2 linked regions of the Drosophila melanogaster genome follow. The protein of the gene in region 1 interacts with the protein of each later gene in a pairwise test. Each region holds a gene or a part of one and is shown on either strand. Other genes may lie near its edges.

The links.
Region 2: the proteins of Gprk2 (region 1) and RapGAP1 interact in a two-hybrid assay, tested with the Drosophila melanogaster proteins (one large-scale study listed by BioGRID).

What each region holds. Positions count from the first base shown.
Region 1 is NT_033777.3:31,403,267-31,408,510, reverse strand, and holds the start of Gprk2 (G protein-coupled receptor kinase 2), read right to left. Parts: upstream 3,267-5,244; 5' UTR 2,555-3,266; intron 1-2,554. Other genes in the region: PNPase (polynucleotide phosphorylase), read left to right, coding at 3,954-4,099, 4,156-4,575, 4,636-5,244. UniProt on the Drosophila melanogaster protein: Specifically phosphorylates the activated forms of G protein-coupled receptors. Required during oogenesis and embryogenesis; component of a signaling pathway that functions during egg chamber maturation.
Region 2 is NT_033779.5:7,575,723-7,580,824, reverse strand, and holds the start of RapGAP1 (Rap GTPase activating protein 1), read left to right. Parts: upstream 1-1,844; 5' UTR 1,845-2,265; coding exon 2,266-2,588; intron 2,589-4,217; exon of another isoform or gene 4,218-4,580; intron 4,581-4,811; exon of another isoform or gene 4,812-5,091; intron 5,092-5,102.

The sequences.
Region 1 (5,244 bases):
TAGGACCTAAAGGAAGGAACCTTTCACGCTGCTTGTTTTCAAAACCCATTAGGCAGATGCCTTTTCATCTATTAGAAATGAAAAGGAAAGGAACCATCATTAAGTGGCTTTTCACTCGAAGTGATTCGATTAAATTTGCATGCCCTCCGGAGATTTCGTTTGGCAACTAATGAGCCCTCCATGTGCCATCCGCCCATTGCCACTGATCCTACCCATCCCTCTTTCACTTTTCCGACATATTCCGCAAAACTTTTCTCACATTTCACTCCAACTTTTCCCACACGCACAAGGAACTCGAACTGCAAGTTCTAATTGAATTTAGTTTTATTAGGGCACATGAAAGGAAAACACAGGGCCTGGAAAAATGGAAACATTGGGAGCGCTTTCAGTTTTCATTGGCTGCCAAAGGGTGAGGAAATCTGGTTTTCTTAAGGGCAAGGCAAATCCCATATTCTCAATCAAGGAAGGCAGGATTAATTAGATTGAACGAGAAGGGAACCTTAGAGCCTCTTTGTAAAGCCCAAAGTCACAAGAAAAACAGGCACCGAAGTTGGTAAGCCGATTTTGGACCAAAAACCAGCAAGTGAACAAAAGGCGGCGACCACAAAAAATTGATTTAAGCTGATTTTCGGGCCATTTGTGTTTTTCGTTTTCTGTTGTTTTTTTTTTTCTTCTAGAGACCAACAATATTGACCGACGACCACGCCCAGTTCGGGCGGCGTGAGGGGCGTGCGGCGCAATTAATATCAATTCCCGTTGGGCCATTAACACGAGCCAAAAACATATTGGCTAACAAGTGTCAAAGTCGCGCCAAATTAGCGCAGAAGGCGACGATGATGGCATGTGGGCGTGGTCGGGATTGGAATTGGAATTGGGAAGTTCAGTGGGCTGGGTCCAAGTGCTGGCAATGATATCCTGCCAAGGGAAGAGCAGCATGTGGCCAACCCTCCTTCGCGCTCGAACTGGCGTTCGTTGTTTGGGTCCTGCCCTCATTGATAATAATATTCGATTGGGTTTTATTTGCCCATGGGGTTGGCGCTGATGGTTTATTGTTGTCTGCACGGGGCCCAGGATACCCAGGATACACATGTTTCTGCCAATTGCCTACGTCATCCTGTCGGAATGGGTTGCGGGTTCTCGGGACTCACAGCTCGCAGCTCGCAACTCGAGTCGATAAACTGTGACGCAAGCCCTCGAAACATGGAAACAATAGTTGCGACCTGACAGTTGAAAAGGGCACCCCATGGGGTCACACATCAGAGATCTTGGACTTTAACAATCACCATCTGTGTACCAGAGTAGAGGTCTTCTGTGAATGGCACATTGACTCCCATCCGCCGATGAAAAGTGGAAACGTTTATCAGCTAAACGTCCAGCTCGTCTTAATTATGCAGCCGGCGAGGCGATTCTCAAACAATCAGAGACACCCGGCTGCCGATGACGTACCACAGAAAAAAGAACTCGAAATGCAGAAGCGATAAGGAAAGTACATCGGGACATTGCGAGGGTCGCCCTTGAAAAGCGGGGGAAAGTTACGCTTTTGGGGAAAAACTATTTTTAACGACTCGCATTTGTCAGCTGCAAATGGAAACGGGAATTTATTGCCAGGCAATCACGCTGATTTATGGTGATTTCAAAATGGTTTCACTAATTGGTTTGCGTTCTTTTCCAATGTTCGTGCTATAAAAATACAGATTTTGAGTTCGAGTACCGCAAATAGTTTTCTGTTAATTTTGGAAATAGGTTTCATGAATTATGGGGAATTTTCCTGTGCATCACATCTCTGATGTTATTCCGACATTTTGCATAAAACGTACAGTATTTTGGAAGTAGTGTGCAAGTGATTAATAAATAAATATCTTGAATTAATGTTTATATCAGCTCTGAAAACTTTACGTAAATATAAAATGTATGATTTTAGAAGTCAAAATAATCAGTGAACACGCATGGCAGTGAGTCATCACTATTGTGAATGCCCAATATATTTTTGTGTGAGCAATAGATGTTACTTCCGGATATCTTGGTAAATGCAAAAATAACAAGCTGACTTATGTCTACTAAGTCATTGATAAATTGTCAGAGGTTAACTAAAAAATAAACAAATTATTAATGATCCAACAATTCCACCGATTATCTCGATAACTTTTCATTTATTTACCAACCTGCCCTCTTTAGCGGGTCAAATGATGGACGGGAACAGCGAGACAATAAATAATGAGCTATAAATATTCATATAGTGCATTGTTGGGCTGATTGCTTGCATGTGTGCATCTGTGCATGGGTATTTATGCATTTAAAAAGCAAAGAAGGAGGACCTACTGATAAGCATTTCCCGATTGCTTTCACTTTTTAATCGATTGGCGTGGGGTGACAGGGATGGCGCGAGTCCTGCGGCATTAATGCAATTAATCGCCAGGAGAGACAAGGCCAACGTGTGTGTAATTTACAGTTACCGTTAAGTGCTTAAGTGCAAAGGAGGGGAACAGCCAGTGAGTTGTGACCACCGAGGAGCAGTAGAAAATAAGGTGATTTCAAGCTGATTAATGAGACTTACCTGTTTGTTTGATGTGCTATTTAAAGCTTCACTGTGAGTTTCGGCTGGTTGGAATTTTCGCAACAAATGTGTGGGTTCTGATAAGAAAGCGGGCGTTGATAAGACGCTTTTCCTTCTCTCTCTCTCTACCACTCCTTTCGCACACCACTGCAATTGCAGCATAAACAATTTGAAAGAACAAGAAGAAGCAGCGACACGCCTAGTGGGCAATTTTCCGGCCTTTTCGTTGGGAAATCTGCGTTTTTTTGGCTTTGCGCTCTTTTTTGACTTTGCCTTTTGGCTTTGCGCAAGAATACTCTTTGATTTTTTGTTTTTCTTTTCAATTTGACCGCATTTGTCGATTTTGGTTTTCTTTTCGGTTGTTGTTGCGGCTCTCACCAAAATTCACACACACAGGCGCGCTCTCACACATGCACAGATGGGCGGGCACACAGAACACACACACGCACACTACGACACACGCGGCGTTTCGTTGACGGAAAAGATACGAAAAATACGGCGTGAAATTCCCAGCTTTTTTCGAAAAGGCTCGCAAAACAAGGGCTCGACGCTCTTGCGGTTTTCCGGTTGGAGGAGTGGCTTTTCTAAGACGACACACGACGACGTTCGCAACTGGGCTTTCTGCAAGTGCCCAAAATTAACGATGGATCCGCGAATTGCCTGCTCGAAAAATATTGGAGTCTTCTGTAAGACCGTCGTTGAGTTAGTGAAAGACGTCTTCGACTCGCGGTAAAAAACTCTAAACGCGTAAAAAGACGGACTAATTTTGGCGGACTGTGTAGTGCTGATGCCTCAGCTATTTTCTAGCTAGCTTGAATTACTTAGATCTGGCGATTTGGACATCGTCGCGTCATTCTGTTGGTCGTTTTAGGACCTTTCAGAACATACCGTCTTAATTCTTCGTTTCTGAAAAGGAATTTAAATGCTGTTTCTTGCATGCTGTAACTAACATTGCTAAGAGTTGGCAGCACTGCAAATTTGACATTATCGGGGACACAAGCTAATAGTTCATTTTCTGGGAACCCTTCTAAATATCTTATTGGAAACGAAATTAATTTTTTTAAAATACGCTGTATTAATATTTACTACATTATTCCTAAGACATAATCCGTGTAATAGTTTGTCTATATAATTCATTTGTTGTTACCCTTGCCAGGTGGCAACGCCGAACGCACACATGTTGCACACTCTACTTTGTTTTAAATGGGCATTCTAGTTTTGAGATAACTGAATTAAACAATACAAATAGTTGAGGCGCTCTAAGTCTAACTTCCAAGTCTCAAGAAACGTACAGGGCTTTTATTGTAAGATTTTGACCACTAATTATTTCTTAAATAACCATGAAAATACAGCGTACAGAACTGTCGCCTCAGCCGGAATCACCCGGCACTTTTAGGTAATGGCCATGATTTTCACACGGAAATCGCTGAAGCTGCTCAACTATCGCCTCAAATGCCTAAGTTTGTCCTGCCCAGGAGGAAGGAGAGGAATCCAAAGCAGTTCCAACGGAGAAGCGCCCTCCGTGGAAGTCAACTTCAGCAATGGGTGAGTTCGTGGCCTCCACTCCGAGTTCCAATAGCAAAGTCTTGAATCCTCCGCAGACGTAACATGACCTTCAGTTCCGGCCGCCTGGCGAGATTTGCGAATGGAACAGCTGTGTGCCAAATGGGCGATACCGCCGTCATGGTCACCGCGGTGGCCAAGGCGAAGCCAAATCCCGGCCAGGGATTCATGCCTCTGGTGGTTGACTACCGACTGAAAAACGCCGCCTCTGGCAGAATACCCATGAACTTTATGCGCCGCGAACTGGGCCCCTCGGAAAAAGAGATCCTGTCCGCCCGCCTTATCGACCGTTCGCTACGCCCGCTCTTCCACAAAGATTATCGCACGGAGACACAGCTGGTGTGCAACATGTTGGCTATGGACGCGGTGCACAGTCCGGATGTGCTTGCAATCAATGCCGCTTCCATGGCGCTATCTCTAAGTGACATTCCCTGGAATGGACCCATTGGAGCTGTGCGGTGAGTACTCACGAACGAATCTAACTGGTAACCGCTTATAACTCTTTTAATCCTACAAAGCGTTGGCCTCTGCGACGGCGAGGTGCTGATCAACCCCACGCGCCGGGAGCTGCAGACTTCGCAACTGGATTTGGTAGTCTCCGCCACCAAACAAAACCTCGTCGTTATGTTGGAGGGCAAGGGGAATGTGGTTCTTCAGCAGGACCTTCTAAAGGCTATCAAACAAGGGACTCGTGAGGCCCAATTCATTATCCACGAGATCGAGCGACTGCAGAAGGCCTATGGTCGACAGAAGCGCGAAGTGGAAGTGGCTGCCGAAGTAGATCCCGAACTGGGGAAAGCCGTTCGTAGCATGTGCGAAATGCGGCTGAGAGAGATCTTCCAGGATTCGACGCACGACAAGATGTCTCGTGACAATGCGGTTAACGAGGTGCGCTCCAACGTTATTGACAAGGTGTGGAGTTCGTTTCCGGATACCGAACCGTCGCTTATTACCGAGCAGTTCAACCAGACCAGTAGAACCATTTTTCGCGAACTGATCTTTGAGCGGGGTCTGCGTTGCGATGGACGAGATTACGACCAGCTGAGGAACATCTCCTGCCAGGTGGACATGTACAAGCCTCTCCACGGATCCGCCCTATTCCAGCGCGGTCAGACGCAGGTCTTCTG
Region 2 (5,102 bases), on another chromosome or scaffold:
TTTTTCTACTCTGCGGTCAGTTTGCTGTCTTCTTTCGATTGGCACTGAAGCGGAGCATGCGATTTCCGCTTTAATGTAATTTTGACAACGCACACACGATGCTCGAGTGGTCATGGGGGATGGGGGCGGTGCTGGGGGGTTGATGTAGGGGGGCGGTTGCGATTGAGTATCGTCATCAAGGAAATGTCATGATAAATCTTACTCGACTTTCCCGTGGCCGAAACCGTTACAGTAGCAACTGCGAATTCGATTTCGATTTGGGTTTTCGATTTCACTTTAAATTGGTTTTGATACTCTGTAATTAGGAGATCGCGATAGGGGGAAAATTAAACATTAAACACTTATTAAGTCACATGAATTTTTGAAATGCATCAAAAGGCATTAAAACAGATAAGAAGTATTTCGACAAAATAGAAATGCCATTTTCTATTTTGAATGCAGGCAGATGCATTTTACTAAAAAGAGTATCTTGAAGCTACAACGACTTGATTTCTTTTTTATAATTTTCATATTTACAGCTCTCTTATCGAGCGATTTGTTTTGCATGTTCCATTTATCTGATTTGCTGGATATTCCATTACCTGTTAACTCGATTGCAGCGGCATTTAGCAGTTGTGGAACCACTTTTCGACGCCACTGTCTTCATCCCCCCCATCGACTTTAATGCACTTATTCTCCGTCCGTTTTTTGTGCATATTGCGACGCCCTGAAGTCTGTTTCCTTATCACCCTCTTTTCGAGAACCATTAAAGTTCTTGGTGGTGACCCGCAGCAGAATCGTAAACCCAGCTTGACTCATTGATGCATCGATGAGACATTTATATTTTCCAGTTGTCCCCACACTACTTTTTCCTATTCCAAGTGCCATAGAAATGAGGAAAATCTGAGTAAAATCGTCGCTTATTATGCGCAAATCAATTTCCCAGCACCTGAAAATGTCAAACGAAGGTGTAAGAATCAGATAAGAGAAAATCTTGATGGATTGTTTAATTAATTAACCAAAGTCTAAATGGTGATTGATTGGAGCATTGAACTAGACAATGGTTTCTATTCATGGGGCGTGTTAAAGGGGGCGGTGCTGAAAACCCTGAGATATCCGATAGCTGGAAATGGTAAATAAAAATAAATAAAGACGTCTCTATATGTACGGATTACACTTAATTTGTATATCGGCAGCAATAAAATGAAAACGAGCTGACTTAGCGGAATCCCAGCTCGGTCATTTATCACCAGCACAGTAAAACTGAAATACAATCCAAAACTAGTAAAAACGTTTAACTGGCGCTTAAGAATGGAATATACCTTTTATATTTATAAAAGAGTACAATATCCACTTCTTTAGTGGTTTCTAAATTAAACCTAAAAAATGTAAATTTAATTTTTAATAAAACACATTAACCCCAAAAAGGTGAGAATATTTATTATTTATAGTACATTGTTTGAATTAAGTCCTCACATGATTAGTGAGAGGTTTGGTTTTATCTTTTATATGTTAATTGCGCTGTTATGTTACTGTTATTGCATTGTATTGATTCATCGCTTCTAAATAAATAAATATATAAAAAAAAAAACATTGTTTGAACAGATTTTTGATGCTTATATGATCGCTTTAAGTACATATATTCCCAATTAAGATCAGAAGTACCCGGTATGTTTAAAATAATGAAATCGCAAGAAATATAAGTAAATTCAGAAAAAAACACTATGCAATAAAACGTGCGAAGTTATAAAAACAATGGAAATGGAAAGAGAGGGAGAGCAAAAACAAGCGAGGGAGAACGCTCCAGATAATGGAGCTCGGTTCTAAAAAGTCGGTTCTTGGGGCTCTGTTCCGATTCTTTGTTGCGGTCAGTCGGAAAATCGAAGGCGGCGCGACGCGACATCATATCGAAACCCCAACGAAACGCGATTTATGCAACGAACGAATTCTAATTTATGCAAAGAAAAAAAAAATGTAGACATAAATTAATTTTATAACTATAGTCACATTGTGTAATGAGTGAATATAATAAATCTAAGTGTAAGCCCGGAGTAGAAATGATAAGAGTACCAATTCGCAGTGAAAAATATAAATTAAAAATATAATATATTCTACAATCTATATGGAAAGTTATAAACGTATATATTTCAATTAACTTAATAAATTCATTATAATAAAACAAACTAATAAAAAACACATGCAATTACTAGAGTACATAGTACATATTCTGTTAGTACATATTCTCAAGAGTAACCTTTCAAAATTTAGTAGATTTAGGCGATAAAAATGAGTTCCTACAGGACATTGGTGGATCATGGCCATCCGATTATAGTGGGAAGCAGTGAAATATCGCTGGCCCCGAGTTCGGCAGCCAGTTCGCCCAAGCCCCTACACCGGATGATCAAGTACTGGCGCAACAGTTCCGGAAAAATTCCGGGTCTCCGCAAAAGCGAGAGTTTCGCCGAGTATCGTCGCCATTCATCCAACTCGGCCACAATTTCGGGAGGATCAGGGGGCAGATCGAGCACTTCGAGTGCCAGGCAATTGCAATACCAGCGACTGGAGATGGAAAGCTGCGAGAATATAGATATGCTGACAGAACCACTAAGGTAAGTGCACTTAATGATAAAAACTAGTTTTTTTTTTCAATTTATTCATTAATAAATTACTCATTTTTATGAGTGCCAAGATATTAATGTGGTTAATCGTTTAGAATCAGAGCATCAGGTGGTCAAGAATTTAAAATTTGTTTGTGCCTAGCATTTGAAAGGTTTTAAAATGATTTTACCCATTTATTACCTACACATCGTAAACAAATCAATTTTATTTCTTTCTCTTGTAAATCACTTCCATGGAGACCGAGATAAATGTTGAATGACCAAATATATGCATGCATTCCATACCTGTTTATATAGAAACTACCAAAGAAGTGGCATCCATTGTCTTGCGGTTCACTTTGATGTGTAACCCCAAAAATGTGGGGCATGCAACAGTTGGTTATCTGTTTTCGGGTTTTCGAAACGCCCCTCGCAGCTGCGGTTTATCGTGTGGTTATCAGCTGTTCGTTATCAGCCGCCAACGAAAACATCGGCAAGCATGTGGATGATAAAAACGAGGGAACAAGTGCAACACGCCGACGTCATTTTGTGGATTGTGGAAACAGTTCGCGGGAGAACTGCATTTTTTGCATTTACAAATACAAGTCGAAAGTTTGTGAACACTTTTCAAAGTGATTCTTTTTCCACAAATTGTTAGATTTGGTGTACAAGACAAAAAACAATGTTTAGTCAACAAAAGTTGACGGAAAATTCTTTTTTATAACTACTATAACATACATACATACATATTCAATTTCGTATTCTGTAATACTTATTCGGGTTGACATCAGAAATCCAGAAAAATGGTATATCCAAATTGTGAAAATACTTTCTCTCGAAAAAGGCTCATGAAAGAACGTGTTCTGGAATAACACCACTTTCCAAGGGGGCGAACGCCGACTGTTTTTGGCTCGTGCCTCTGTTTACTTGTGTATTGGTGTCCCACGCCGGTTCCGGTTATTCGGTTTGTTTTGGTTATCTCTCGGTGGAGGGAAATCATTGCCTTCTGCATACTTTTGGGGTACACTGTGCAAATAATTAACTGGCAACTGCATTGCCGGCTTCTTTGAATTGCATTGTTTTCCAAACTGTTTACTTTGGCTAATGCGGGCAGCTCCGCTCTCCCCTGGCAACAACTCTTTCTGTTTGCCTAAACTGCGCGCATTTGGAATGTAAATAAATGTAAATAAACAAGAATTTCGCCCCCATAAAGGCAACAAAAGCAGTGAGAGCAGAACAACAACAAACTCGCTCTCTCGCCTTAACAAAAATGCAACGTGCACGTACAGTTAAGGTCGCAGCAATAGCACGGATTTTTATAAAATTATCTGCTCTTTAATATGAATTAATGCATATCTGTATCATCACATGTTTTACATGTTATTTCATATATCATTCCACTCTTCTTTGTCTGCGCTGCATTAAATAATTTTTATCTGTCTAAGCTTCATAATATATGTGTACATAAATAAAATCTCCATAACTGGATCCACAGCCACTATTATTTTGGCCCCCACTGTGGAGTTTGTGGATCGCATTCGCCAGTGGAACCTGAAATCTGAGCTTCGTGCGCAACGATGTTGTTCGTCGCTCGCATTCGTGTTCGTTTGGGGCCAGACCCGCAGCTTTTCTGCTTTGCGACTCAGAGTCGATTTGTGAACCAACTCGTGTGGGCGTCCGAGCCAGCGAGTGTCCGACTAAGTGTGTGCGTGTGCGAGGACGACCGGGCGTGTGTGTGAGCGTTGTCGCGCGTCTGCGTCGCGAAATCCTGATATCGGGAATCGGAACAGGAATCGTAATATATTTCGGGTCTGCGGTCCAGACGCTGATGCGTCTTCTTCATTAGCTGTTCGAAAAGTAACGGTAGAACGCAAAGCAGTTGCAAATCGACAGCAACAGAAGACGGCGAGAAGCGCCACGAATGGAAAAATCAAAACAAACAAGAAAATTGTTAAAAAAGAAGAGCAAACAACAAACGAATACTCGAATATGTGAAAGTGCTAGGTAATCAACCAAAAAAATTATAAAATTAATATAACCAATTAAGGCAATGATGATTTGTGGTTTTGAATTCTTGAAAAAAGTGAACAAAAACAAATCATGCTAAGCATAACACGCAAACTTTCTTCAACAATTAATTTGCAATTGATCCCACTGAGGCGGTTTCCTAAACAGCCTAAACAAAAGAAAGAAAACGAAAGCAATAAATAGACAAACAATAAGCAAAATGTTTGACGAACTTTTAATTGAACGTGTGTGCTTGAATAACAACAAATTGAAATCGCATTTGTTGGCCTTATCAAAAAATTAGAAGCGAAAGTGGCAAAGGTGTCTTAATGGGCAAGACAAATAGAAATCAAAATAAGTTTGCCAAAAAAAAAAAACAGCTGCATAAATACGCGCACGTAGTTAAAAGTGAAATTTTTAAACAAAAATCGTTGGCTGAAATTGAAATGTAACGAGCAAAGAATCCAAAAGCAGAAGCGAAGAAAGTGTTGAAACCAAGTGAAATTGTGTGCGTAATAT